Linked DNA regions of Rhinolophus ferrumequinum. The protein of the gene in region 3 interacts with the protein of the main gene of each other region in a pairwise test. Links are inferred from orthologs where the notes say so. Each region holds a gene or a part of one and is shown on either strand. Other genes may lie near its edges. The genes, in order: ACCS, CINP, FBF1 and TUBGCP4.

What was found.
Region 1: the proteins of FBF1 (region 3) and ACCS interact in a two-hybrid assay, tested with the Homo sapiens proteins (2 studies listed by BioGRID and IntAct). The two-hybrid records come from large-scale screens. The link is inferred for Rhinolophus ferrumequinum from reciprocal best matches to the Homo sapiens genes FBF1 and ACCS.
Region 2: the proteins of FBF1 (region 3) and CINP interact in binary tests that used the Homo sapiens proteins (3 or more experiments, as listed by UniProt). The two-hybrid records come from large-scale screens. The link is inferred for Rhinolophus ferrumequinum from reciprocal best matches to the Homo sapiens genes FBF1 and CINP.
Region 4: the proteins of FBF1 (region 3) and TUBGCP4 interact in a two-hybrid assay, tested with the Homo sapiens proteins (2 studies listed by BioGRID and IntAct). The two-hybrid records come from large-scale screens. The link is inferred for Rhinolophus ferrumequinum from reciprocal best matches to the Homo sapiens genes FBF1 and TUBGCP4.

The regions. Positions count from the first base shown.
Region 1 is NC_046294.1:16,465,370-16,473,239, forward strand, and holds the start of ACCS (1-aminocyclopropane-1-carboxylate synthase-like protein 1), read right to left. Parts: upstream 2,861-7,870; intron 2,613-2,860; exon of another isoform or gene 2,549-2,612; intron 1,506-2,548; exon of another isoform or gene 1,503-1,505; coding exon 1,212-1,502; intron 1-1,211. Other genes in the region: probable inactive 1-aminocyclopropane-1-carboxylate synthase-like protein 2, read right to left, coding at 2,861-3,387. UniProt on the Homo sapiens protein: Does not catalyze the synthesis of 1-aminocyclopropane-1-carboxylate but is capable of catalyzing the deamination of L-vinylglycine.
Region 2 is NC_046289.1:2,522,800-2,530,125, forward strand, and holds the start of CINP (cyclin-dependent kinase 2-interacting protein), read left to right. Parts: upstream 1-4,314; 5' UTR 4,315-4,329; coding exon 4,330-4,402; intron 4,403-5,328; exon of another isoform or gene 5,329-6,572; intron 6,573-7,169; exon of another isoform or gene 7,170-7,267; intron 7,268-7,326. UniProt on the Homo sapiens protein: Component of the DNA replication complex, which interacts with two kinases, CDK2 and CDC7, thereby providing a functional and physical link between CDK2 and CDC7 during firing of the origins of replication.
Region 3 is NC_046304.1:50,761,032-50,768,830, reverse strand, and holds the start of FBF1 (fas-binding factor 1), read left to right. Parts: upstream 1-4,787; 5' UTR 4,788-4,895; intron 4,896-5,284; 5' UTR 5,285-5,442; intron 5,443-5,937; 5' UTR 5,938-6,020; coding exon 6,021-6,023; intron 6,024-6,589; coding exon 6,590-6,617; intron 6,618-7,387; coding exon 7,388-7,429; intron 7,430-7,799. UniProt on the Homo sapiens protein: Keratin-binding protein required for epithelial cell polarization. Involved in apical junction complex (AJC) assembly via its interaction with PARD3. Required for ciliogenesis.
Region 4 is NC_046289.1:62,429,775-62,436,974, forward strand, and holds the start of TUBGCP4 (gamma-tubulin complex component 4), read right to left. Parts: upstream 3,020-7,200; 5' UTR 2,801-3,019; coding exon 2,723-2,800; intron 1-2,722. Other genes in the region: ZSCAN29 (zinc finger and SCAN domain-containing protein 29), read left to right, coding at 4,245-4,562, 5,048-5,252, 7,013-7,200. UniProt on the Homo sapiens protein: Component of the gamma-tubulin ring complex (gTuRC) which mediates microtubule nucleation.

The DNA.
Region 1 (7,870 bases), on a different chromosome or scaffold from region 3:
GGGCTTCCCCCAGGGAAGTTCTGGGGGGAGAAGCCCATGTCATGGGGCAGTTCTGCAGAGAAGCCCATGTGGTAAGGGACTAAGTCCTACCAACAACCATGGAGGTGGGCTGGAAAGCGGGCCCCTCCCCCCGCCAAGCCAAGTCCTCAGAGGAGACTGAAGCCCCAGCTTCACTGCAACTTCACGGAAGCTTTTTAGCCTGAAGCAACCACCCAGGTTCCTGAGCCCCAGAAATTGTGAAATGTTTGTTTTAAGCTGCTACGATTTCAGGTAATTCATTAGACAGCAACCGATAACTAACAAAAACCCTCACTTTTTTCAGGTCTCTGCTCAAATGTCACCTTATGAAAGTGGCCTTTTGGGATCACCTCACATAAAATAGTAACATGCCCAGGCCACCCCATCACTTTATCCTCTTTACACTGCTTTCTTTTTCTCTATAACACTTGCCACCATATGTAGATATGGTGTTCCCCATTAGACTATAAACTCCATGAGGGCAGAAGCTTTATTTTTGTTCACCGCTACAACCCTGGCATCTAGAACAGTGCCCAGCCCCTGGGGGATGCTCAAGAAATAAAGATTATTAAAAGGTTGTTTGTGACAGCTCTCTGCCCTCTGAAAGTATTACTAATAACTTATAATAACATTAATTATTCTAACGATAATGTTATATATCTATGATAACATTATACACATTAACATATAACATTAATAATAATAGCAGCTATCATTTACTGAATGCTTTATGTGGAAGCACCGTGCTAATAACTTTATAGACCTGATTTCATCTAATTGTGACTGTTCTACAAAAGCAGGTCTCATTATCTCATTTTAGAGATGAACTGAGGTCCAAAGAGGTTAAATAATTAGCTCAAGAATACACAACCCCTAAGAGTAACAGTTGCGATCTGAGCCTTAGTTCGTCCCAGCTCTAAAGTTGAATAGTTGATACACTGTGGGTCAGAATCCACATTAGAGCATTCCATGGTTCTTGAATTCCTCACAAATCAAGGTCCCCTTAATTATAACTGGGTCATTTTCTGATCCAGGTAATAAACTAGGGCCTCTCTGAGCTACAATCAGAAGCCCTCTTGGAGATCAGAGGACAATAGGTCCAACCTGACAAGAGCAAACTGGCTGCCGCCCTACTGGTCATGGTAGGGTATCCCACCCTGCAGTCCTTCATTGGAGAGGAGGGCTTCACTCACATTGGGGTTCTTATCCTCATCATACTCATCCATGTGGTAGGTCCTGTAGCCCTCCTCAGCCGAGTCCCAAAACCATTTAATGATTCTTCCTCTCGAGGATAGGTGGGAGCTGTCAGAGGAGAATGTGGCGATGGGATCTCCCACTCCATAGAGCTTCGGCAGCTTCTGGTCTGGTTTTCTGGCGCAGTCTCTTCCCAGACCATCCCCATAGTTACTGCCCAGGCCCTGTGTGGAAGCTGGGTCCAGACAGGTAGTAGGTGCCCCGGATTCCTTCTGAGGGAGGGTGAACATCTGCAAAAAGACAAAAGCACTTAATGCCTGATCAAGGACTTTCCACAGGACCAAGCCAGCAAAAATGAATTGGGATGGGGGAGGCTGGTTAGCTCGGTTGGTTAGAGTGTGGTGCTAATAACACTGAGGTTGCCGGTTAGATCCCCAGATGGGCCACTGGGAGCTGTGCCATCGCTCATCCCCTCCCCCCAAAAATGAATTGGGAGTCATGGGGCCCTCCCCCTTCCTTATCTGCCCTTCCTTTAACTTTATGGACTAACTGCATCGTGTCCCTGACTAGTTGTAACCATGTGTGCAATCCCTTCAAGCAAATTCTGTTAAGGATGGATTCCGTGCCAGGGTTTGCGCTTGCTACTTTTATATGACTTGACTATATAGGTGTTTGTTTTACTTTTCTGGGTTTTTCATTCTGCAGCCTAAGGGGTCACCAATTGTCTTTTCCCATTTTTGCTGACCTGAATTTCAAAAACCCAGGTTAGAATTTTTTTGGCTTAAAGTAGAAAAAGCCTGGAGTCCCAAAAGGTCTTATCGTGACTGATGTAAATCGGGGTAAGGGGTGGGATGAGATTATAGATGGTCTGAAGCAAACCTTGGGTGGGGCCTACCGGGTGGAGAGTGGGGATCTCTGCAAGTGCAGGCACGCAGGCAGAGCTCCAAGGCCCGCTCTTCCCTCCCAGTGGTGGGAGGCATGGGTGCCAGGATTGGGTGGTCTCATCCTGAGAGCAGGTGGGAGCTCCTCCACTTTCTAAAGCAGTTTCCTCATCTGCACAATGGGTATAACCGTAACTACTTCATAGGGTAGCAGTGAGGATATAAGTATATGAGTTCGTGTAGATAAGGCGCTTAAACAAATCCTGGCTCATGGCCAAAGTTCAGTAAAATATATAACTCTTCCCAAATTTTCCCAGTCCTAACGCACAAGCCCCACCCACCAAATAACTCAGGACACACCAAATGATGGGGGACCAGCCAGCAGCTTAAAAACTTTGGGGCTCCCCGATTAAATTTTGCTCCACAAAGTCGCCTCTGGGGTCCTCCCGAATTGGCTGGGCACCTCCGGAGCCCAGGCCAGTGGAAGGGCCAAGGGCCGCGCAGCCGGGGGCCAGGGGTGAACTGTGCCGTGCGGGAGCCAAGGGCGGGCTCCGGCTTCTGGAGGAGCAGCGTTGAGTCCACAGTCCGACCAGGCCTCAGATCCCCCCACCCAGTGAAGCGATCGCGGCGGCCAGGAAAGCGCCAGGGCCTCTGCAGGCGGCGGTCCTCCGCACAGCTCCAGGCTCCAAGAGGAGGAAGTGTGTTTGGAGCACAGGGCTTCGAGACGGAAGGACAGAGTCTTCGAGCCCTTCACAAAGGGTGGGCTCCTAGTCTGCACAGCTGGAATCACACCGACCTGGCCGAGCTGGAGGTGCGACGTGGACACCCAGGAGACGCGAGGTCAGTGTCGGTGCTTTCTGCGCGGGCGACCCAGCCCTAAGGCTCCCGGACTGGGGGCTGGGGAACGTCTGCGCCCCGTGACTTCCCGGGTTGGTAAAAGAGCAGTTCGCCCCCTTGCGACTGAGGCCGGAGGACGCCTCCGTGTGGCCTGCAGGATACCACGCGCACACCCGGTTGCACAGGGTGGACCGGGGCTCCCCCGGCCCTTCCGGTGTCCGCTGACAGCCCAGGCCCCGGGAGAAGCCGGAGAAGGGGAAGAAGCCCAGGGCGGAGACCCCTGAGAGGCGCGAGTAGCCCGCTGCCATCTCCACGCTCTGTTGCCCGAGCTCCTGGGGCCACCTCCTCGCCCTGGTCTCCCCAGCTGGCTCGTGGGGGCGCCCTCCTCTGCCTCCGGGCCTCAGTTCCCCAATATTGAGGCCGCTAGAGCCACGGGGGTTTCTTGGCAAATACATGCCTGGTTGTGGCCCACGGAGAAGATTTTCCATATTAAGGCGAGAGCCTTCTTAAAACATCCTTCCCGTATGGGAGTTTTTCACCTGAGTTTGTAATTTCTCCTCCTTTCTATCTATGGAACATTTGTTAAATTCTGCCATGACCCTAGATATTCTGGGGCTTGGGCAGTGAGTTAGATGATCCAGGGCCCAGGCATGCGCAGAGCCTTGAGTCTCCTTTGCTCATGAAAGGACATCGGCAGATTCCTTCAACACAAGTGTGGCTGGGAAGACTTGGCTGTCTTCTGACCACTCCATTTGTCTTCACTTTAGCTTTGCCATTTGACCTCGAGCAATTCTCATGACTTTTTCCATCCTTAGTGTTTTGTTCTGTAAAATAAGACAGTTTTCTCCATTTAAGCCATAGTGTTCCATTTAATTCAGATAAGTAGTTTTATTGCTTGTTTTGTGTCCGATCTCTGCAAAATCCTGAGACACAGCTATGGGCAAATCAAACAGCAGGCCTGGATGGTTGATCATACACATGATAACTGTTAAGAAAGGGATTGCTGAGTGCCATGGAAGCATATAGCAGGTATGCTTTAACCCCACCCCACAAACACATGCTTTGGCCCCACATGGGAAGCCCTACACAGTCCATTCACCCTCAACACTTAGGTTGAGTTCTGAAGGATGGGTCCTAGTTGGCTAGCTGGCTGGGGAAGGGGGTGGGGTGTGGGCGGTAGAAGGTGGTGTTAGAGCAGATGGAACATTTTCATAGGCCCTTAAAGGTTAGAGTCAGTGGAGAACATTAATGTACAGTACAAAGCCAGTACCTCTGGAGTTTTCCAGGTTTGGGAGAAAGGCTGGAGATAGAAACAAGCAAGGGTCAGGTCATGAATCTTTGTAAATAAACTGTGATAAGGACTGTGGACTTCTCCTGCAGATGTTGGAAATGTATATATAGTATTAATTCCTAGAACAATTTTATTTTAAATCAAAAGAAGCCATAACTAAGAAGCCAAATAACTAAGAAGCCAATAAATAACTAAGAAGCCAAAAAAGGCAATAAAATGGGAAACTAAGTAATGTTTGATTAATCTGAAAGAAGGCCGGCAGGAAGAAAAAATGAACAAAGAACACATGACACAAATAGAAAACAAATAGCAAAATAGTTGACTTAAATTCAACCATATTAATAATTACATTAAACAGAATGACTAAGGATCAATGAAAAGATCAGGCTGGATAAAACACAAAGATTCAAGTATATGGTATTTGCAAGATACATTGTTAAATAAGAAAACAAATGATTAAAGGAAAATTGGAAAAAATATGCCACGCAAATAACAATCATAAGAAAATGGCTACTATCCAAAAAACAGAAAATAAGTGTTAGCAAGAATGTGGAGAAATTGGAACCCTTGTGCACTGTTGGTGGGAATGTAGAATAGTACAGTTGCTGCAGAAAACAGTATGGAGGCTCCTCCAAAAATTAAAAATAGAATTACCATATGACTCAGCCATTTCACTTCTGGGTATATTCCTAAAATAATTGAAAGCAGGGTCTCAAAGACATTTGTACACCATGTTCATAGCAGCATTATTCACAATAGCTAAAACATGGAAGCAACCAAAGTGTTTATTAACAGATGAATGGATAAGCAAAATGTCGTATACGTACAATGAAATCTTATTTAGCCTTAAAAAGGAAGGACATTCTGATACATGCTACAATATGGATGAAGCTTGAGGACATTACGCTGAGTGAAATAAGCCAATCACAAAAAGACAGACCCTGTATGATTCCACATATGAGGTACTTAGGGACAGAAAGTAGCATGGTAGTTGCTAGAGGCTGAGGGAAGAAGATAATGGGGAATTATTGTTTAATATGTATAGATTTCCAATTTTACAAGATGAAAAGAGTTATGGGGATGGATGGTGGTTGGCTGCACAACAATGTGAATGTATTTAATACTACTGAACTATACACTTAAAAATGGTTAAGATGGTACATTTCGTGTTAGGTGTATTTTAATAGCCAAAAAAGGAAAACATAAGAAAGCTGACATGTTCATAATATCTGACATCGTAGACTTCAAAACAAAAAGAATTACCAAAAATTAACACATTTCATAATGAAATACTCAATTCACCTGGATAATGATTTTTAAATGTTTATACCTTTAATAATAAGTATTTAAAATATGTGAAGCAGAAACTGAGAGAACAAAAGGGAGAAATAGACAAATCAATAATTATAGTTGGAAAATTTAGCACCCCTCTCTTAGTGATAGAAAGATTGATAAAATGACAGGATCTGAAGATTTAAACATTACAAAACAATTTAACCTAATTGACATTTGTAGAACAACACACCCAATAATTGCGGAATTCAATTCAAGTGTATATGAAACATTGACCAAAATAAACCATATACTTGGCCATAAACATGTCTCAATAACTTTCAAAGGATTAAAATCATAGTTTATGTTCTCTAGTCACAACGGAACTAAAGTTGAAATCATTAACAAAGATAGCTAAACAATCAATCCTCAAATATTTGGAAACTAGGTAACATATGCTAGAAAAATCATAGATTAAAAAAAGAAATCACAAGAGAAATTAGAAAAGTGAATGATCGTAACAACCCAACACATCAAAATTATATGTAGCTAAAGCAATGCTTGAAGAGAGATCAATAGCTTTAAATGCTTATATTAGGAAAAAAAAACTGCTTAAAACCATTGATCTAAGTTTCCCCTTAAGAAGCCAGAAAAAGAGCAAATTAAACCCAAAGCAAATAAGAGGAAATAAAGAGTGGAAAATGAAACAGAAGAGAAACAGAGAAAAAGCAATGAAACCCAAAGTTGGCTCTTCAAAAAGATCAATGCAATTGATAAACATTTAGATTAACTGATCAAAAAACTAATTTCAATATCAGCGAAGAAAAAGATGGACACTATAATATCCTACAGATATTAAAGGGATAGAATTGTTTCAACATTCCCTTATATGTCAATAATTCAACTTAAATGAAATGGAAAATTTTTCTTGAGACAAATTGCCAAGACTGACAAGAAATAGGAAATGTGAATAGCCCTATATCTGTTACAGAAATTATGTTAAAAAAAAAAAAGTAAAAACCTTTCCACAAAGAAAACAAAAGATGACTTTACAGGTGAATTCTACCAAACAATTAAATATTTTTTAAAAAAAATCAATTTGACACAAACTTTCAGAATTTTGAGAAAGGAACACTTCCCAAAAATTTGGGGTCAGTTTTACCTGGACACTGCAACCAATGATACATTATAAAACATATTTTATATTTATATATATATATATATATATAAAAATATCTCACCATATCCCTCATGAAAATAGATGTAAAATTCTTAATATCAAATGACATGACTATTTGGAGTTTATGGCAGGAATATGACATTGGCTTAACCTTTTTTTAAAAAAAATCAATGTAATTTACCATATTAATAATTTTTAAAGAATTATATTATCTCTAGCGGTAGAAATAAAAACATCTGACAAAACTGAACCCCTTTCATGGTAAAACTGTCAGCAAACTAGCATTGAAGGAAACTTTTCTATCTGGTCAAGGCCAGTATGAAAACTACAGCAACGTTATACTTAAGAGATTGAACTCAATCCTGCTAAAACTGACAAGGCAAGACTGTCCCCTCTCTTCACTTTCCAACATTGTGCTGGAGGTTCTAGGCAAAGCAATTAGAATAGAAAAATAAGAAATAAATACTGAAAAGGAAGGAGGAAAACTATCTTTTTTTTATATAGGCAACATGGTTGGGTACATTGAAAATTCAAATAAATCCCCCCAAAACAATAAGGGCTAATAAGTGAATTTCGCAAGGTCACAGATACTGTCAGGAGATGATTCTTCCTGGGCCTCTCATGTTATTGCCTGTCTTGGAAGCAGGGGCACTGGCTGCCTTTGTTTTAGGCTATCTTTTCTGAGGACATACTCGTACATGTGATATGTGTATAACGAACTACCTTGGAGGACTGTCTATTAACTACCATTACAGAGTTTTCCAAGAGCATCTCTAGTTCACATCTTCCCCTTCTTTTCTGGTCCCATACCCTCCCTCATTCATCCAATGAATTCACTATTTTTCACATACAACCTGCCTTAGAATTTAAAAATAGAAGGACAAACAGGTTAAAGAGTTCCCAAGGGTGATTATGACGAATGAGGAAGAAATAAAACAGGCCTGGAATTTAAGACAATACAGAATTTATTGGGTATTGATTACAAAAATAAAGGCATCTAAGTAGGGACGCAGAGAGCTCCCTTGATTTCTCTAGCCTTTCCCAGCCTAACCCCGTAAAATCATTCTGTGCCCACACACAATGGCTAGCAAAGAGGAAAAAGAGGCAAGGCTTCTAAAAATGACAGATGCTCAGCTTAAAGAGGGTAATGACACGGTCAGTTGAGCCCATTTCTGAAGGAGCCCACTGTTTGCTGTT
Region 2 (7,326 bases), on a different chromosome or scaffold from region 3:
ACCCCTAAAGTGGCCCCTCTGCCCCCCGAGCACTCTCTCTCACACCCTCTCTCCATACACCTCTTTCGTTTCTGTTGACTCACCGTCTCTGCCTGAGCTCCTCCACCACCACCCCTGGTCTGTAAGCCCCACAGGAGCAGAGCCCATGTCTGCCTCACTCACTCCTCTAGCCGCTGGCACCTAGAAAAGGCCAGGCACATCAGAGATGCTCAGTAAATATTTACTGAATAAATGAATGAGTTATAAAACAGGAACATTTGCAAGGAAGGAATTAGTGACACGAATGGAAGAGCAGCAAAATATGATCTTTTCTCCAATGATTCAATTCAAACCTGGAATAATAATCTCCCCTCCCGCCCACCCCCCCAATCTGTACAGAATATGCCGTTTTCCAAGAATTTTCAGATTCCTACCTTGCTTGGTAGTCACAATAGCCAACACAGAGAGATAAGCGGGGTCATCTCAGAGAACTTTTCTACAGGTGACAAAAATAATCATATCCCTCTGTGATGGTTAAGAACACCGACTAACACACCCTCTTTTAGCAGAAGTTGAAGCTCTGGAAGATTCAGAAATTTGCCCAAGGTCACACAGTTTTAAGCGCAAGGAAAATCGGGATGGTGAACTCTGGTTCTGTTCATACAGCAGCACAGTTCATAAATGTATAACTTTTTAAGAACAAGACCAATCCTTGGTTTGTGCGAGTACTCCAGAAAGGTGGGCAAGACCAACGTGACCCAGAAATCAAATGACAGCAAAACGGCTGTCAGGGCTGCTGGCAGACACCCTGGGAAAGCATGTAGGTCATTTAAGGACGGGACACTAAAACCAAAATGACAACAATAATAATAGCAATAACAGTAATAGCTAACACTATGACTTAATAGAAACTGTCCTTGCACACTAACTCATTAAATCCTCACAAAAAACCTGTGAGATAGGCACGATTGCTATCTCCATTTTACAGACAAGGAAACTGTTCCCATTTCAACAATCTCAATCCAATTTTTAAAGTTAATAATGCTTCCTTGGTCACAAACATTTCCATTGAAAATACAAAACCCCGCTCCACAATAGGCCAGGAGGCTTCCCCCCCTTGTTAGTACCATCGACCCCCTACACCAGGAAGGTGGCAGCTCACCATGCTGACTGACGGCACCCTAATGCCATCTTGGCAGGCAGTTTTCCAAAACTGGAGCTAAGACAAACAAAATCTAGTCCAAATCATTCACTTAGCAGTTCAGCGGCCATAAGTTGCCAGAGCACTCTGACAACTCTAATGGTTTAAGGATTTTCTCCAAAATCTCTAGGAAGTGACAATTAGAATCCTGGTTGTATAATCTCTTTTTAAAATCTGGCTACAACACCTAGTCTTTTTTCTTTTTTTTTAAATTGGGGAATATTGGGGGACAGTGTGTTTCTCCAGGGCCCATCAGCTCCAAGTCGTTGTCCTTCAATCTAGTTGCACAGGGCACAGCTCAGCTCCAAGTCCAGTGGCCGTTTTCAATCTTTAGCTGCAGGGGGCGCAGCCCACCATCCCATGCGGGAATTGAACCATCAACCTTGTTGAGAGCTTCTGCTCAAACCAACTGAGCCATCTGGCCACCCCTCTGGCAGCTCAGCGGGGGCTTGTTGTCTTCAATCTAATTGTGGAGGGCGCAGCTCACTGGCCCATGTGGGAATCGAACAGACAATCCTATTGCTCAGAGTTCACGCTCTAACCTACTGAGCCATCGGCTGCCCCAACACCTATTCTTTTAAGTGTTAAAATCTTATGGCTGAACATAATGAGATTGAGGCAGCTTTTTATCTTCCAGATGAAATTTTGTAACTTCCTTGGTCCCATGCCTGCTGATAAGCCACTGCTCACAAGCTAAAGCCTGATGAAAGCACGGAAGTAGAACATTTTAAAAAACATGGTCTGTATCTAGCTCCATGCCAGGCTGCTCCTCCTTCCACTCTATGCTGCAGCCACAGTGGACTTTCCACCACAGTCCCCGAACACACCATGACCTGTATGTCTTTGCAAAGTCCCTCTCCTCCCTTCCCCATGGACCTACACAGCTTGTAAGGACTAGTTCTCCACCAGGAAGCCTTCACAGACTTCCTCTGACACTTAGTGGGCCTTTCTCTGCTTTCACAGAACGCTCTGAGGGCAGTGACCACAGGGCACCGTCATCGTTTGTCTCTGTACCCTTCAACGAACTCCTTCCGGTCTTTGCTTCCAGTCTACATACTTCGTGGTGCTGCAAAAGACCAGTGAAAACACTGGGCCAGAAATCCCACAGTACGACAGCCCAAGATGTAAGACTACTCTACCATAGTTACTGTCATCATTATGCAAAAATGCACTGGTCTGCAGTGCAGGGCCAAAGAATACACTCATTTAAAAGTGAACACGCACTTTGAACAATAGCTCACTTCTAACTACTCCCTGCTGATTCTACCACGCTCCTTGTACTGCACGAGATCCAGAAATCTCTTATGTATGACAACGAAGCTTCTTTTCATGTAACTGTTTCCTGATCTGCTCTTTCACTTTTCCATGCTCAATCAACTGCTCTGCCCGCTGCAGTTCCTTCTTTTTCCTACTAAGTTCCAGCAGCCATTCTGTCCAACTATGCAGACAGATGCTAGCTACCATGAAATATTACCTTCCTTAAACTCCAAGTGTAACTTCTCTAAGAGAACACTGCAAAATCCATTTTTCCATTGAAAAAGACAATGTGGCTACAAAGTAACTTAAAACTAACAAAAGCTACCCACTAGTCACTCCTGAAGACTATCCTTAGCAGGTCTTCCCCACCACCCCTCTCCAAGCCAGTCCTGAAAACTGAAGCAGAGCACCCCTATGCCTGTACCAGCTGGTTCTCTGGGGAGAAGCTCCCTGAGGGCAGGGGCGAGGTCTGCCTGGTCCACCACTCAATTCCTAGAGCCTGGCATGGTGGCTGGCATACAATGGACCCGAAATAACGACCTGGGATTAAGTGGGGTTACCAAAGAACAGCAAGGTCAGAGGCTCATCAGGGTGCGTTGTGGCTGAGTGTGAGGAACTATAAAAAGCCTTGCAGCTCAGGAGACACGGGTGACAAGGGGACACATGCTGGGATTTGGGTTTGGGGATTTCCCAGAAGTCCTTTCCTTACAGTTTACAAGGCGTTGAGGACAAAGAGGCAGTCAACCCCAAGTGCTACTGATCACTCCAGCAGACAAAGCAAATGTGCACCCAGGCTGGTCCCCCACATTCTGCCACCAGATGAAACAGAAGAAGCAACAGAACAAATTCCTGAATCTCAGTGCGAAAGTGAGAAAGAACAAAGACCGGGGAAGAGAAATGGAAGTAGAGCATGTGGGCAAGGACAGCAGCTATCCTTTCTGGAAATGTAGCGCCTGCCAGGCACTGTGTTTAGCACCTCACGTGCACTGACCTATTTAATCTTCCCACCAAGACAGAGGCAGAAACTACTATCATCCCCATTTTACTGATGATGAAACGGAAGCTTAGAGAAGTCATATCACCTGCCCCGAGCACACAGTTAGGAGGGGGCAGCGCTGTGACCTGAATCCCATTCTTGAACCTGCACGACCTATTCTGCCTCCCAGGCCTTAAAACAGGACAGAGAGAGGTTCATGTATCCATTTACCGAACGCTTACTGAGCAGCCCCTGGGTACGTGCCAAGGCCTGGTGGGCGGATGAAGGCACGAGGGCTGAGAGGGTCGGGAGACAACGCAACAGCGAGCAGAAGGCTAGGGGGCTGGAGCCTCGAGGCCGGCGGGCAGAAGGGGTGCAAGGGTGCGGCGGAGGGAAGGAGCGGTGTGGGAGGAGCGAGGGGCGCCCGGGCCCGCGAGGCGGAGGGCCCGCGGATGGGGTCAGCGGGCCAGCGCAGCACAGGACGGGAGGACGGCTGCTCGGCTCGGCGGACCGCCGGCTTTGGCCTCACGTGTTACGGCATTCAGCCTCGGCAACCCAGCGCGGGAGAGACGGGAGCGGGGAAGGGGGGCGAAAGCGGCCGGGCGACCCCGAGGCGCTGAGCCGAGGGAAGGTTGGTCCGAGGGAGGCGTGAGCGGCGGCGGGGAGCCAGAGAAAGGGGCGCGGGGCCGGACAGCGGGGCCGCCAGCCGCGTCGCCGGACTCACCTCCCGCGGCAGCCCCTCGGGATTCCTCGGCCCCGCCGGGCGGGAGGAGGCGGGGTTGGACTCCGGGACGCGGGGGCTGCCGGGAGCCCGTTCCCCGGGCAACCGGGCCGGCCCCGCCGAGCGACAGCGGATTCCGCCGGGGGCTAGAGCGACAGAGCTACAAGTGGAAGCGGGCGGGGCGCGGCGGAAGTGATGCGTCCAGCTTCCGGCGGCGTGGGCGGGGCTTCGGGTCTCTTTCCTGGGATATCGGCAGACTGCATGGATGGTGCGTAAGACGGGCCACTTCCCCGGGGTGGGGCGGTTGTGGGTGTCACGGCGTGGACTGCGGGCCGGGCCTGAGGCCAGGAGCCTCCCGGGTTGAATGGGGTCCGTGCGTTGCCCCATCCCAACCCTCTGGCCCCGCGCGGGCTCTGCAGTGGGTCCGGGAGCCAGTCAGTTTTTCCGAGCATCAGTTTTTTCACGTATACTGGTAGAACGAGATGCTGCACCCAAAGAAGTGTCAGCAGATCCTGACATTCAAATTTTAATTGTCATTATAAAATAGCATTAGCCGAGCCCTTTTCTTGAACTCTCCTCAGTCGGAATTACCAGCCACAGAGCTTTTTGCCTGTAATAAAAGCTATCATTCAGCGAGTGCTCACTATGTGTCAAGGAGCGTTCTAAGTACCTTACGTGGATCAGTTCATTTGAGCCTCGCAGCGATCCCATGAAGTAATGTCAATTGATGGGGAGCCGCGGCTCACGGGATAAGTAATGGAGTCAACTACTGTCCCTTACCTCACTCCACCCAGTCCTGTGACTCTTACTGGTCTGTCCTTCCTACTAGCTTGTGAGATGCTTGAAGGCAGAACTGGTTTTGGTTCCTAAATTTGTGCTCGATGTGGGGCAGACAGATGATGAATCAGATGTGGTCCTCACCCTTAAGGACCTCCTGGGGGAGAGAACCCCTTAGAAGATTATATAGTGTAGGTGATAAGAACTGTTTCTCCATTTAATACATTTTATTCAACACCTACTGTGTGCTGAGGTTATGAGAGGGAACAGGACAAGTATAGTCCCTACAATGCTGGAACTTACAATCTTAATGGGGAATATAGACATTAAACAAGCAAATCCACTACACTGGTGAGTGTCATGATAGTTGACGTGCAGATGTCTAATGCAGTAACTCCCAACCCACCTTGGCGTTTTAGGAGGACTTCTTTGTGGAAGTGACTTTCTAAAAACCTAAATCAGATCATGTCACTTTCCTACCCAAAGCTCATTGCTCACTTTCCATTGACTTGGAATGAATAAATCCAGACTTCTTATCTCAGCCTGTAAAGTTCTAATTGTCTAACTGCTTCCCACTTTCTACTCCTGTTCTCTGTTTCATTCTAGCCACACAGGTCTTTTCTTTTTTCAAACTCACCAAGGCCTTTCTCACACTAGGGCTTCTCATTCAGGTCTCAGCCTAAATGACACCTTTTTGGGGATCACTCTAACACAAGAGCCCGTTTTATTTTCTACATGGCACTTAAAACGATCTAAACTGACCATGATAATCTCATTGTCTGCTGTCCACTTCCTCTTGGGAAAGTAAGTCCCATGACAATGGACCTGGCCTGTCTCATTTACTTGCTTCATCCCCCATGCCTGACATATTGTAGGCATTCGACTAATATTAGTTAGTCGTATAAGTAAAGAATGAATGAAAAGTCAGTATGCCATTTAAAAGCAGAGCCATAAATATACTAGGAGTTAACTGGGTGACTGGGAACACACACTGACAGGAAAAATATTTCAGATCAAAGTCAGAGCAAGTGGGAGAAGCTGGAGACGTGACGGACAGGACTTAGGTCACAGAGGCTGTGGTATTATGGTTTATAATAAATAAACGTTTGGTCTTCATCCCATTCCTGGCACAGAGCTCCTAAAACCCATGGCATTTCCTAAGTGGTAAGAGTGGTAAAGGTGTTCTTTTGTTATGTTAATGATTGACTTTTGGAATGGCCCTAGGTCATCCAAGGGTGGGGGATGCTTATCTGGGAACCTGCCTTGTGATTAGAGAGTTGAAACTTTTAGTCCTAACCCACCAACCCCCACCTCCAGGAAGGGAAGTGGTGCTGGGGGTTGAATCAATGACCAATTATCTAATTAATCATGCCTATGTTATGAAGGCACTATAAAACTCACAAAGAAAAGGACAGGGTTCAAGAGTTTCCAGGTAGGTGAACAGGTGGGGACTCGGGGAGAGTGGAGCACTCAAGGAAAAGGAAGAGCGCCTCTTCCCACACGCCTTGCCCTGTGCATCTCTTCCATCTGGCTGTTCCTGACTTATATCCTTTTATAATAAACCAGTGATCTAGTAAGTAAAGTGTTTTCCTGAGTTCTGTGAGCCTCTCCAGCAAATTAAACTCAGGGGAGGAGTCTTTGGAACCTGCCATCTATAACTGGTAGGTCAGCAGGTGACAACCTAGACTTGTGAGTGGCTTCTAAAGTGGAAGTGGGGGAGGGCAGTCTTGTAGGACTGAGTCTTTAACCTGTGGGATCGATGCTCTCTGCAGGTAGATAGTGTCAGAATTGAGTTTATTGCTGGTGGTGGTGGTGGTGGAAAAAACACACTGGAGAGGTCCTTGTGGTAACAGATACTCTGTTGATTACTTGCCATTTGCCAGGCCCTCACAACTTTATGTATATTATCTAATCTTTACATCAACACTTTGAAGTAGATATATTTTATCCCCATTTTATAGATGAGAACATTGAGGCTCTGAGAGGTTAATTAACTCGCCCAAGATTGCACAGCTGGTAGTGGCAGAGCTGGGTTCTAACCCAGTCAGTATGGTCGTCAGAGTCTAGACTCCAAACTGTACCACTGTTGTGTGTGTCCTGGACTCCTGAAGGGACCTCATGGAATTTGGTCTTCATCCTGTGGGCCAAGAGAAGCTTTTAAGGGGTTCTAAGTGGAGAAGGAGAGAGGGCACAGCAGAGCTGGGAGAGCCCAAATGGCCTGAGTTGGCTTTTGGTGTTCTGGGGGTTGCTTTCCACAGGAGCTGGAATCTGGATGAGTCTTAGAGCCTGGGCAGCACTCACCCCAGGAAGGAAAGAACTTTCTACCAGAAAGAACTGCATGTGCAAAAGCCTGCAGGTGACTCCACTTATCCAGAAATGCCAGTAGTTCCTTTTAGCTGGAGATTGAGGGGGGTT
Region 3 (7,799 bases):
AATACACCTCCATATGCCCTTTGTCATGCTTTAGCAACTCTGTGTTTTGGGCCAGTTGGTTTCATCTGAAACCCCCACCCCTTCCTCCCGAGGATTATTTTTTGAAACAAATCCAAGATAACAGTTAATTTTGTCCATAGATATTTCAGTATGTATCTCTAAAAGATAAGGACTTTTTTCAGAAACATAACAATACCATTCTCACACCTAAACAAATTAATAATAATTCTTTAATATCATGAATTACCCAATGTCCAGATTTCCTCAGTAGGCTCATTTCTTTTTTTCCCTCTTCAATTTCTTTGGATCATGATCCAAATAAGGTCCAGATAATTTCTTGATTAAAAGTATGCTCTTTTACATTGCAACTTCCTGATGAGTCATTTTCTCTCTCCCTTCCTCACAGGTCCATGAATCTTACTACAAGCACCTGAAGCCCCTGCAGTCCAAGCTCTGAATGTCATGACACGTTTTATCTGCTCCAGGAAGCAGCTGTACTCTTCTACTCCCCTTATACCTGTCACACAAATCTGCGTGGAATCTTGATCGAAATCAGAGAGCGATAGAACAGATGATAAATTGATCCCTTTCTTCTTTATTAATGAAGAAAAAAATGAAGAGCTTTCAGAGATTAAATGAAAAAAATAGATATGTTTTAAGTGCAATTAACACTGAAAGAGACCTGTCAAGCATTCAGAAAAAGCTTTAAGAAATACAGTATGACGTCCATTTGTAACGCTGCTGATCCCAGTAGGCCATAACTTTTGATAATTAGTAGAATTTAACTACTAAGTAGTTAATTATTATCACATCTTAGTTGCTAATCACTGGATATATGTGTTTTTAAGCAAAGATACACCCCTCCCAAGCTTTCCTGTTAAACGCCCTACTGCTCCTGCCATGGGCCCTGACTTAAAAGCAGGACTGCAGAAAACGGATTGGGGGAAGGAAACTAATCAGAAAATTTAGTGTGAGTTTGTGCTTAACACATTTTCTGCCTGCTTGCCCTTGGTTGCTGACATACTGTTTCTGTTTGCTCATGGTAGCATTTTTCTCACAAGAATTTTTTCAGCATAGGCCTACTGCAGGATCATTGTCCTGTGTAACTGGGAATTAATCTTCCATTAGAAGGATCCCTAAATTGTCACTGTAGTAGCAACTTCTTGGGAAGGGGTGGGTAGCAAAATTATTTCTACATAGGACTATTGGCAACTGATGGAACCTGTCGGTGGCATTTGATCTCCCTCCCTCCTTGTCCCTTAACCTCTCCCGAAAGAGATAATGAAGAAAGAAAGAAGAGTCACAGTTCCTTCCTAGTAGAATAAGTGTAGGGAGAGCTCTCAGTTATGGTTACTGTAACTTCGGTGACCATATTAACTGGATATTCTGGAGCAATTCTGATTTCATGTCATTTTGGCATAAACCATTGCAATGCTTGGAGTTTATAGTGCCTGGCATTACAAAAGTAAAGCATCACTCAGGTTACCTCTTACCACCAGGAGTAGCACACAAAAGTCCTTTGACAAACCATGTGTTCTGGTTTTTGGATCAGAAAACATAATCATTGAAACTATGGCTAAAGGACAAATGGAAGTTCCATGGAATTATTTCTTATTATATGTTTGGCTTTAGTTTCAGTATGTTTCTAGGAGCTTTATCTGAATTGCTAAATTGTCCTTTCAGCTGAAATCTAATTTACACAATCATTCTATATTTAGAGGGTAAATGTGTACCTCTTAGTGAATTTTATTCTTAAAATCAATGCAAAACAACATGTTACTTGATTTTTTTTTTTTAACCTGTTAACTGTATCTGTGACATCTGCCTCATGAAACCGTTGTTCTAGAATCAGTCTTGAGAATGTAGTATAACTCAGTGGAAATACAATTCCTATCTTGGGACCTGACATAAAATCTTATTCCAGTGGAACTGGTAATATGAGTATTTTAGGTCCAGCAGAAATACTGTCTGTTGACACAAGCCTTAATCTTTACACCAGGAGAATTAATTGATAATTGTCTTAAGATTGAAGTAAAAAGCACTCTGTTAATCTCATTTGGCACATCTTGACAGCTCAGATTCTGGGAAATAACAGAAAGTAAATATAAATTGTTTAATAGTGACCTGTTAAGTGTAGAATTGTTTCAAAATCAGTGGTTAAGTACTTTACTCATAGGTGAATACCTGTAATCAGCACCTGAGGGTGTTTGAAATGACACCCATCTAATCTAGCTGCATAGATCTGGGAACTATCGTAGCAGATTTGAACAGGTGGTAGATACAACAGAGCCACCTTTAGTCCAGCACCTAGTTTTATTTAAAAACTAAATCTGATATTTGAGACTACTTTTATTAACATTGTAATGTTTTGTCTTGAACTTTATTCATTGTGATCAAAGAATAAAGATGTAGTAAAACCTCACTAATTTGCACTATCAAGAGGGAAAGAGTGTACCACATAATTAAACATAAGTTCAAATTACGAAGAATTGTAAGATGGAGGCTTAGGAAGTTTAGGTAACACTAGGAACAAAAAAAGGAAGGAGTGAGACCTGCTGGAGCAGATAGCGCTGAAATCCACCTCAACTGCTGTCGTCGTCACAAAGGCTGAGTGCTCTCTGGTCGATTTCTGAGAATTTTTTGTTGACTGCTACAAAGCACGCAGGTCGTTTGCTGTCCCTCAGAAGCCAAACTTTGCCGTAGATAAGTCTGGTTGTGTTGTGTTGTTTTGTGAGCCGTTTTCACAGAGTACAAAGATAAACTTCACCCTGACTTCTCCAAAATGATGATAAATATTGAGTAGAATTAATGAGATTTTTCTACTAGATAATATCGATACAAGCCTCTTTTAAAAAGTACCCATAATTGAAAATTTGAGATTTAATAGGGATGATTTTGCTATTTGTAACAGATAAAGGTTGATTCTTCCTCAAGTGTTTGGAGTTCTGTTTTATGCTCTATGAGACAGTGACCTCTATACAGTTTGTCCCAAAGCCTTGGGGCCCTTCATGGTCTTGTCTTCAGAACATAACACTGATAAGTCTTAGTTTTTCTTCAGAATATTTGCTTAATTGCAATATATTCATGTGTTTTCTGAGAACTCACTTGTAATTTCATGTATCTGGAAGCATTTTCTAATTCCTAACGTTAACATGTCAGATCTTAATTCTTGGTTTTCTTCAGTGCGGGGCTTTGGCTGGAGAAATATAACTTCAAATTCATGATCCTAGAGATCCCTGGGGAATTAAATTTCTTTAGATAACTGCTGCTCAGGCCCTCCTCCCCCTTTCTGAGTTCTTTGCATCCATCTTATTAGGAAGGAAGAGAAGAGATGCCGATGGTCTGTAACACCTGCTAATCTTTTTAAATATGTGGAAGGTATGCCTTGGGGTTTCAGGGTGTCTTCAAGCAGTAGCTAGTTCCCACTGCAGCCCAAGAGGAGCAGTGTCAGGAAATTGATTATTCTACCTGAGATCAAGAGTCTTGTTGATTCTCCTGACTCAGATAAAGGTTTTGATCATTTTAATGGAATAATGTGGAGGTCGTTTGAGCTAATTAAATATTTACTACTACATTCTTGGAGGATTAGACCAAATCATGTAAATGACTAAAATGATCCATTCTTTCATTTTAACATAGTGGTGGGGGAGTTCTGCTTTTAGCTCTCCACACTTATTAATTTTTCAGTAACTATTCCTGTGGTCCATGATAGTACACAGAAACATAAGGAAACTTAGGAGTTACCAGATGTTAGCTGTTGCAGACCTGCAAATTACTAGATTTCAAGGGGGTTTTGTTTGATTTTGCCTTAAATTTAAGTGGGCCATTCATTATCTCAGAAAGATCATGGAAAATTAGGAGTGATTTTAAGAATTCTGAACCAAAATAAGTTGTTTTGCCACAGTACTGTTGATTTTCATAGATTAGATAAATACGTGATCTTCCACATAATACTCAGACTGCTGACTACTTTGTAAACACCACTTTATTTACAATTGCATCTTTTAGAGGGTATAATTACTTTGCCACCCTTCCTCCTTTTACTGTTGTGGTTTGAGTTTGGTTCCTACCTGACGATGCATTTAGTATGTATTGTTACCCATCCCTGGCTGGACCCGTCAGTGGGGGTGGGAGTACAAGGAGGTTCACGGGTTCTGGTCCTGAGGGTCCTGAGCGTGTGAATCATGGTTAGATGGCAGTGACCCGCTAGCACTGTTTGGCCTTCCGGTAAGCCAAGCCATTAATCCCTTTTTCCTTTGTAAAATTGAAAGACCGTTAATAAAATCTGTAATTAACACAAAAACTGTTACATGTTTTCATTGCTTACGTTGTTGGGTTTTATTCTGGCTTTGCATCTTTGATTTTCTTAATTGAACAGAAAGATCTCTTCCCTAAGCTTAGGAGTGGGATAAATACATAATATCGTTTCACACATCCATCTTCCAATCTTAACACGTTTCTCATGCCTTCCACCCTGCCACAAGTCAGCCCTCAGGAGAGTATTGGAGGGACTTTTAAGCGTTTAGTCTTGGAGCCCAGGCCTCCATGGAATGAATGGCAGGAGGAAGAAGTCCGCTGGCCTCGGAGACTGGACCCCTCTTCCCAAAGGCGTTGAGGCAGCCCCTAGCAACGGGAGGAGCCACGAACAGAGGACCGGCCCGGACTAACGGCCGCGGCGTGGCACCCTGGGAAATGTAGGTACTTTTGGCGTCCCCTGTTTGCTTGGTTCCGGCCGGTGAGCGGGCCTCGGACTACAACTCCCAGGATGCCTCGCGCCTCGCCTTGTTGTCGGAGGCCGGGCGACTGAGAGATTGGTGTCCTCGAGGGTCCGAAGCGGGAGGTCTGACCGAGCTGGGCTCTAGAGGAACCCGGACCAACGGCCATGGCTCGGACAGGTCCCAGCTACTGCTCTCCGGAAGGGAATAGCTCGTAACCCAGGGAATTTCAGGGGCTAGGAGGATCGTAGGCTGCGCTCGGCGTCTGGATGGGCTGGGCGCGTGCAGGGGATGACACTTGGAGGGGCGCGGAGTCTCAGGACCGAGGGGGTGCCTCCCGAAGGGTCCTTGCTAAGGGGAGGGCTCTTGCTAAGGGGCGGGCTCGGGATTTTCAAATAACTGGCACGGAGTTGGCTGAGTAAATGCGACGACGTGGTAGTTCTTGTGGCCCTGTGGCCTTCGCATACATCTCAGAGATTCTCGCGGTCTGGGAGGCTGGGACACGATCGATAGGAGATGACTGGAAGTTCCAGGATGAAATATGAGACAAATCGTGTTTACACTTCTAGGTCGTGAAAGTTGCCATTGCAGAGAAAGAGAAACAAACATTCAGAGTGGCCCCTGTATGTAACCCCCAGATGAACTTTGCAGTCTAATAACAGAACAGGCCATCATCAGAAAATAGAGATGGCCCCTTCCGACTCCTTTCTTCCAAGGCGTGCCAAAGGTCGGTACCAATAACATTGAGGAGGGGGCAGGGGAGAATGATAATTCTGGGGAAAACAGTTCTCTGTAAATGGGGTGAGTCGGATTTAGTTAGTGTGAAGGAAAAATTTCCATTGTTGGTGAAAACATTGTCAAGGAATAACCAGCACTCACATCAGCTGTTTGTGCCAAATGCTGCCTAGAAAGTAGTCATGGGTGTTGCCTGGAAAGACGTATTGGCCATAGGGCCAGGCACCACCTCCTTTCTGAGGTGGGTACCTGTCCTCTCCAGCATCCTGTTTCAGGGTAGGGGATGAGGAGCAGTGAACTTTATGCGGGTAATCTCCAGGCCTGGGAAAGCTCAAGTTACCCAGAACACTTTGCTTTTCATGTGAATTGCTCCCTCTATGAGGAATTTTTAATTTATGGAAATAAGTTTTGACCTCTCTAATGGGTAAAGTGAGAGAAGCCTTGACAGGCCATGGACTCAAGCATCCACTTTAATTTTCTTCATTAGGGAGCATGGGCGTGATGGGAGCAGAATTCAAATGAGTTGGACAGCGCTGTGCAGGAGCTGCAAGCAGCCCCGAGAGCCTGGAGATGGTAGGCAGAATGCATAGTAAGACGTATGGAACTGTGAATCCGTCCCCACCCCCAGCGTCTTGACTGCATGGAGTGCTGAGGGGGCTGGATGTGGTCCCTGGAGAAGAATAATGGGACATAGCATTGATATCAAACTTTTTATTAAGCAATGAGCAAGCATTTCTTCTGAGCCTCTGAATGTCCAGCTGGAATCATTTTTAAATCTGTCCCTGGTATTGAGGATTCGAGGACATGGAATAGAGGAAAAGATTCAGTCTCATTACATCATGTCTGGGAGGGTTTGCGTGTGGCATCTGGAAATCAGAAAAAAAGAGACTTCTGCCCGTGAAGGGTGCGCCCACAGTAGCAACCAGTGCTAGTTAGTGAGCACTGTTTTCATGCTCTTGAGTGAGTCTATTCTCAGAAACTCTAGAAAAGTATAAAGGGCCTCTTGTCTCTAAATGCCATTGGTGTTCCTTTTTCCCCTGGTGACTTGGCAAAAGGCAAAGCAATCCATTCTGCGTTCTCGGTTTCAACACATGTTCATAGTTTGATTTTGTTCAAGTGATTTGTTTTTCCCATTTTAGGCACCAAAAGTCAAGAAAGGATTGAAAGGTGAGTGGCGAGATGGAATATCATCCTTAAGCCAAAAATATTTACCTCACATTGGGTCTAAAAAGAACTCAGGCTTATGGGTGTCTGAATGTTCTTAGTGTGTCTTGCTGGAGCCCCCATAATTCCACAGGGAGCTCTGGTCTATCTAGGGGACTCCTTATGCTGCCTGATTGGCCCTCAGAGTAATACAGAGCAAGGGACGGGACTTGGGAAAAACTCCTGCTCTTTGGGCTCTGTATCCAGAAGTACATGGATGGAGGTCAGGAGTGTGAAGGCTCGTAAGCGGATGTGAGACCTAATTCAGTACTCGCACTTGGGTTTCCCCACATGCCCCATCAGAAAATGGCCGAGGAAGAGTGCCTCCAGACCAGTTCTGGGGGTCTCAGATGGAAGGGTACAAGGAGACTATCAGTATGAAAGAAGCTTGTATGTGCCTAGAAATCTTGGACACTTTTCCCGAAGAAGCACACTGGGCTTTGTTCAGAGCCTAGAACACGGGCTTGATGGCCAGTGTGTCACGTAGAACTTAGGTTCTCCTGAAAATCTTCACCATCATGCTTTGAGAAAGTTATTTTCAATTTCTACGCTAAGGTCTTTCAATAAGGCGTTGTGACTTGTTACTAGAAAGTTAGAAAACATCTCGTGGCCAGTGAAGAGAGAGCTAAGCCTACCTCTGAGAGCTCTGAGGTTCTGGGGGGAGGTCTCAGGAGGTGAGGCTGTAAGGCCCAGTCTTTCTTCCTGAAGTCATGATGCCACCCTTTCTGTTGCAGACTCCTTTGATGATGTCCTTGATGACCTCCTGGGGGATGAGAGTAAGTGCCCCTGTCCCAGAATCACCTGATTTAGGCTTGTTCTTTTTTCTTTAATTGAGATATAATTCAAATATACTCTTTAAATATACTCTATATTTATATATGAATAGAGTATATTCAAATATACTCTATAAAATTTACTCTTTTAAAGCATACAATTTAGTGGCTTTTAATATAGTCACAAAGTTGTACAATCATCAGCACAGTTCCAGAACATTTTCATCACCCCATAAAGAAACTCCATACTCATTAAGCAGTCACCCCTCTGTTCTCCCCTCCCCTCAACCCTAGGCAGCCACTTTTCTGCTTTCTCTATGGATTTGCCTATTCTGGACATTTTATATAAAATGGAATCATATCGTATGTGGCT
Region 4 (7,200 bases), on a different chromosome or scaffold from region 3:
ATCTCACTATGCTTTTGATTTGCATTTCCCTAATGATTACTGATATTGATCATCTTTTCATTTGTTTATTGGCCACTATATATCTTCTTTGGAGAATCAACCAACTTACTTATCCCAGGCACTGTGTTAACGTTCTGAAATTAAATATTGAACAAGATTAGATATAGTTGCTACCCCCAAAGAGCTTAGCATATTGCACATTCGTATAGTGAGTATTGTATTTTGTGGATGCCATCTTTCTATGACAGTAAATGTGGTAATAAATAGGCAAAGAAGAATTTTTCTGTTTCTGAGTCCATAATAATTTGATTAGGAATCCCCTTAATGTAGATTTTAATAACACAATGATAACCATATCCACAAATTAATAACTCAGAGGCATCATGATGTAGTGCTTAAGAACCTGGTCTTTGGAGCCAGGCTGTCTGGGTTTGAATCCCTGAGTTGCCTCTTACTTGCTTGAAATCTTAGGCAGATTTCAATACCTCTCTATGCCTCAGTTTTCATACCTATAACGCAGCGATAATAATTGTGAGGATTAAATAAGTTATGACATGTACATCACATGTGCCAAGTACATAACAAGTATTCAATATATGTAAGCAATAGTTTTATTATTGGGACAGCTCTACCCAGCTAGCAAGTGATACTCCCATTAAAACTGGCATTTTGAGCAGTGCTTTTTGGCACAGTTTTAGAAAAGCTGAAGGTCTAGTTATTCTATAACAGCAAACAATACCTTGAAGTTATTGATATCATTTGGTGTAACCTAGTTATATGAACAGGCATTCTCTACGTTAGAGTTACTGAAGTCAAAACAGAAAATATAAAGCCAGATCTGTGGCAAAGTCATTCTACTATTAAATTCAATGTTGGTGATTTAGTTTCAGCAAAACAACAGTATATGTCACATTATATCACTGGTTCTCAATCAGGGCCAATTTTGCCCCCCAAAGGAAATTTCGTAATGGCTGGAGATATTTTTGGTTGCCACAACTCGGGGTATTACTGGCCTCCTGTGAGCAGAGGCCTTGGATTTTACTAAACATCCTACAATGCACAGGAGAGCCCTCCACAACAGAGAATTATCCTGTCCAAAATGTCAATAGTGCCAGTGTTAATGTGAATTGGTAAATTTGGTAGTTTTGCTTACTTTGTAAAAATATTTGGTTTTATAGCTGTTCAAGAGAGCAATATGCTTGAGTTTATACTTAGCGTAATATGTATACATATTCAATATGACAATAAAATGATTTTTATCAACATTGGGCATTCATGACAATTTTCCCCTTTATTCAATGTGAAAACCACTGCTCTGCAGAAAGTATGCAGTATTTACTGGTTTTGGTGGCCTTTTTTTACACAAATATCTACTCTGTGGCACAAACTGTGCCAGGTGCTTCTGGTACATCCATGAAGACCACTGTGGTCTTTGCCTCCATGGGCAATCTGTGCAAGAAAAAGACTAGGAAGAGGTGACAACAATAAATAATATGACTTGTGGTTAAGTCCTCTAAGGGAAAAAAACAAGTTGCTGTGATAGAAAATAATGGCATAGGGGAGGAGGATACTGAAAGAGATGGTCAGAGAAAGTTTTTCTGAGGTGACTTTAAAGCTGAGACCCTGAGGAAAACATCTGATGGAAACTTTTTTATAAGAAAGGAAGGCAGCTATCTTTTCTATATTGTTATCTCTTTTTACTTCAGATCATAAAGCACACACAAATACTTCCTGAACATTTTCCTCCTATATGCCTGGCATTGTGCTAGTTTTACAGGGGAAAATAAATAACAATAGGAATCTGTTTGGTTTATAGGTTTTATAGACTAAAAATATAATTTTTCTGCTCTTCCCCAGCCTATTCTGCCAAGTCTCATATGAATAGGCATGACTGTCATTAGACAGAGCTAGTTACAACTCTTGCCATTATCAGGACTAACCACCAACCATAAAAGTTCTCTGAGCTTCAGTTTGCTCATTTGTAAACTAGGGCTAACAATACCTAGTTACTAACTTATCCAGAGGATTAGATAACATTACTGGAGGCAGAAGTACAAGAGTAGTTCAGATACTGGCGCCTGACAGACCTGGGTTCAAGGCCAAGCTTGCTCATTACTATCTGTGTGGAGTTAGGTGGTTATGAAGAGTAAATGAGATAATGCATCTAGTACACAGCCCTTCCTCCTCATGCATTCCTGGTTACAGGAAGGCCCCCTTCCAAGTTCTCCTATTGCACAAATTTCCTGAGAAATGATCATGAGGGAAATTTCCTGAGAAATGATCATTCATTTTTTTTCATGCAACAAAATTGGCTGAACCTTTATTGTGTGTTATCCTCTGGTCTAGCTTTCAAAACTCAATTTAAAACAGTGCAAGCGAGAAAATGGGAGAAAGTGCCTCCTTCACTTTTACATCCAGTTGCCCAGCAACTCGCTCAAACACCTCAACTTGAAGCGGGATTCGGGGCTCCCTCTCTCCCTCCCCGAAGGCGGGGTCATTCTGGGTCTGCCCTCCGTTTCCCAGCCTAAGCCCAGCCCTCTCAAGGTGTTACGTCAGCCGTAGGCCCCTCGGGGCACTGCCCTCCAGTACCTGAGCAGGGCCATTCCCCCCGCCCCTCGGCCCTGCAAGGCCCGCCCCCTCAGTCCCTCAGAATTCCCCCACGTTTTGGCTCAGGTCTACCCATTCAGCTCCCGTCAGTTTCCGCGTTCTGAGCCGGACAGACCTGAAGGCCGCTCCGCTTGTTCCAGGTGAAAATGGACCCTGGGTACCCGCTCAGAGCCAAGAGCAGTTCGTGGATCATTCCCACGCCGGATCTCAAGTCCCTATATACGTCGCTCCCTCCTCCAGCGCCTCTCCAGGCGACCGCAGAGTCGAATGCTCCCTTCTGGAAACGTGCACAGGCTTTTGGGACCTACGGTTCCTCCTGAATCTACCCGCCGCGACTGCTGCGGGAGGAGCGCACAGGGAGCGGGAAAGGGGTCCACGCGCCGCGTCCGGAAGTGCGCCGGCTCTGCTGGGTTCCCCGTTAGCTCCAGCCCCGGCTCCGCCGGAGAGTCCTGGTAGCTGCCTTTGCGCATGCGCCCTCAGCGCCTGAGTCACCCACTCGGACTTCCGGTTTTGGAGCTGGACTAGGAGGCTGGATTGCCGGGCCTGGGGCCGACCCCGGGTGGGTGAGGCTGGCCCGCGGACATAGATGCGAGTGGGTTGAGGGACAGCCCTAGAGGGAGACACTCCCGGGGATGGACCGGAAGGTGCTCTCAGAGCCTTAGCCGGGTTGGGGGCCTCTGGAGGGGACTGCACGACGGCTCTGAGAGTGACCTGGCCGGAGGGAGCGAAGACAAAGAGGCCGGAACCCCGCACCAGCCGCTCCTAGAGCTGAACTCCGCGCCCGCTAACCTCGCAGCACTCGGATCTTCCGGCCGGCACCCGAGCTCGTCCTCAGGAGACCCATTACTACTACCCCCTCAGAATCCTCCTCTCCACCAACTCAGTGCGACTCTCCCCAAGCCCACCCGGCCCTCGCGTCAGAAGCCAAAACCAACTTCTCCCAATGCGCGAGGTCTCCCGTCAGTAGTTCCCGAATGTTTTGCTGAGCGGTTACTTCTGCTGTGAGGGAAAACAAAGACCCGAGATTCAGTACTTGATTTTTGTCTGGGGTGGGTATTGCCAGTTGTGGTGTCCAAGGGGGCAGGGCGGACGTAGAGGGCCTCGGGAAGCACTGCGGAGGTACTGGGTGAGGTCACCTGCGACCCGCGGGACACAGGCTTTTTGTTGCCTTGAACACGATGGTGACTTGCCTTTAGATCCTCTGAGCTCCAGGTTTCCCATATGGTTCAAACTCATTGTGCAACATTGGTTAAGGGAGCTAAGTGGGATCAGATTTGGGGGAGGTGGAAGAGGAGCAGACAACTCTTTGCTGCTTCCCCGGGCTCCCCTGGGAAGTCGCCCAGAAATGCAGCTTTTGAAAGGTTTCTCTCCATGCTGTTTTGGCTTGCTGTCCTGGAGTTGATGATGCCTCAGATGGCCACATGGAGCATATATATGGAAAGTCGGGCCAGCTCTGGCAAGACTTTAGACATATGAGTATATTCCTTCTGATAGTGCCCTCTCTCTCTACCCTAGGAGGCCACTCTTCTTAAAGAGAGAGAGACTCATCTGCAGGTAATTCTCCAAAGACATGGGAAGATAGGTGTAAGCCCTGGAACCCAGACCCTTAAGTGGAGGGAAGCTGCTTTCTGCTGTGAATGATGGCCAAACCCACTCTGAGAGGAAATGGCACTAACTCGGAGACCTACCGACAGCGCTTCAGGAAATTTCATTACCAGGAGGTAGCTGGGCCCCGTGAGGCTTTCAGCCAACTCTGGGAACTTTGCTGTCGGTGGCTAAGGCCGGAGGTGCGCACCAAGGAGCAGATTATAGAATTGTTGGTGCTAGAGCAATTCCTGACCATCTTACCTGGGGAAATCCAGAAGTGGGTACAGGAGCAATGTCCAGAAAGTGGAGAAGAGGCTGTGGCTCTGGTGGAAGATTTAGAAAGAGAGCCTGGAAGACCTGGACGTTCGGTGAGAAGGGAGGGGGAATTCAGAAGTGTGTGAACTGGGCTGGGGCAAGGATAAAAGGCCAAATTAAGGTATAGACAGGTTTAAAGAGGGGCATAATCTCCCGTGGTGATGCTTATACTTCTGATCCTGGAACAGGTAACTTTTTCAGACACAGATCATCTAGAGAGGCTACTTGGGTGTACCTTTGGTACCCTGTCATAATGAATTATTCATAGTTTCATAGTTTTTTACTTAATAAGGAAGAAAGTGGACTTATTTTTCTAGCCTATAGTTGGGTTTACTGTTTTGATCTTTTCCTTCCGGAATTCCGGCTGCTCTAAGCTAACAGTAACAGAATAAGAATGACCCTTGTTCACTATTAACACCCCTCACCCAACCCTAGCCATGTCCCAAGAGGATGGTCTCTTTTGGGGTATTAAATAATCTCCTCTGGGAATGCCCCTCATTATGACCTTGCAGTGACAATTAATGGGGGTTGTTTCTAGGTCACAGTCTCTGTGAAGGGGCAGGAAGTGCGCTTGGAGAAGATGACACCCCTGAAATCATCACGAGAGTTATTAAGTGTTCGGCAGGAGTCAGTGGAACCTCAGCCCAGGGGTGTACCCAAGAAAGAGAGGGCAAGAAGCCCAGACCTGGGACCGCAGGAGCAGATGAACCCAAAGGAGAAGCTCAGACCTTTGCAAAGGAGCGGTGAGGAGTAGATTCATATGGGAAGATAGGATGCCATTCTAAGTTGGGAAGTAGGGTTGGGAATAGTGAGTGGGAAAGGGATTTCAAGAATGAGTGAAAATTGTAGAGTATGCAGTTTTTGGGGACCTCCTGAAGGCATGTAGTTTAGCTCTGCTGCAGTAAGTATTCTTGTTATTTCCTCTTTTGATAAGTCTGCCAGAGGATGGTTCCCTAGTTTCTTTCAGAACTCGGAACTATTTTATTTCCTCTTGGTAATGATACTAGGTCAGTATTTTCTAGGTAAAAATTATTTTCTATATTTGAAGGTACATCTTTTAGTCATTTTCCTTCTCCAAAATAAACTGTATTTGTTTCTTTAAACTTTTCGCCAGAAGCTCCATTATTCAGACATACTGTTTTTGTTACTCTCCCTTGGAAACTTTTAAGTTCTCCAAATATGTTAATTGTGGAGAACTAAATTAGATATATTATTCCAGTGAGGGTCTGGTAGGTTGAGGCAGAGTAAGAATTTTACTTCAAAATTTCACTGTATTTTCTTTCCGAGTAGCTCGACTAATTCTTTGATGATTATTGTTCACCTGGTAACTCCCAGGACTCTCGTAGCCGTCCCCATTGTCTTTGTGCCTAGCGCCTATTCTTGTACATGACTGCGTAGAGCTTGTTTTTCTTCTTTGTACTCTGTTGAACTCCAAATTGTAAGTTTTTTACTTTGATCATTTCTTTAACTTATTGAGGTTGTTCTGAATTCTGACCTTATCGGCCAAAACGCCAGCCTTTTCAGCCAGTTTGGTAATGGTCTGTTTAGTCATTCAGATGCATTCCCTCAACCACACACACACAGACTTGCAGAATTAATCAGTTTTTGAACACCTATCATGTGCTCAACACCTTGCAGGGTATTCTGCAATAAGAAAAGATGCCTATCCTCAGAGAGCTTACAATATGATTGAGAACTAAACAGCAAATATAAATATGTGCTGAACTGAACTGTACTGAAACAATGTCAAACAATGGTTTGTCACTCAATTGTGTGAGTATAACAGAGTGGGAGATAAGGGAGGGCTGTAGGAAGGCTTCAAGGGGGCTTTGGCAAATACAGCTTCTTGAAGTGGGTTAAATTGGGATAGGGGAAGATTCTGATATGAATGGACAGTGCATAGTGGGCACTCAGGTTAAGGTCCAGCAGTATAGTACGTATGTGAGCTGAGGAAGCAAGAGCCTGGAGTTTGGTAGAACAGTGACCGTTATCTGGGTGTGAGAAGGTAAGACTTGGATGGTGGCAGTAGGAATACGGAAAGGGCATACTAAGGGAAAAACCTTTAGAACTTAGTGACTGAGTGTGAAGGAAACAGATGGGCTGAAGACCATCTTCCTTCTGTTCCCCTTGAAATCACTATGAGTTTAGTTCTCTAGCCCCAAGTGGAGAACTACAGGAGACAGGAGGTGGCTGTTCCCAGCAGGGCTAGGACCTGCCTACAGGAGGCCAGGAGGGCTAGGGAGCACCTTGGAACAGAATTACCTGCTCTGAACATACCAACAAAACCTTTTCCTCTCTTGCTACCCTGCTTTGGAAAATAAAATAGTTCTCATTTTTTGGTTTCATGTATTTTTCCCTTTCTTCAACCCACTGAACTTTCTGAAAATATTTCCTTAGACACTTTCTTTATAAGTCTCTTGGGTAAAAAAAGGCAGGTCTGAACTCAAAGATGTTTTTTATGGTCAGTCCAAACTATGATATCCTTTGTTTGCTTCCCTGCAAGCAGGATTTCCATTTCCTAAATCCGGTGTGGTCTCCAGGTTGGAGCGAGGAGAGTCTTGGATCCCAGATGTAGGCTCCAAGGAAAAGGAACTGCCAAGAGGCAGTCACACAGGAGACAGACGAATGCATGCTGATCTGTTACCATCCAGGAGAGAGAGAAGCTGGGTGGAACAGGATCCCTGGGGCTTT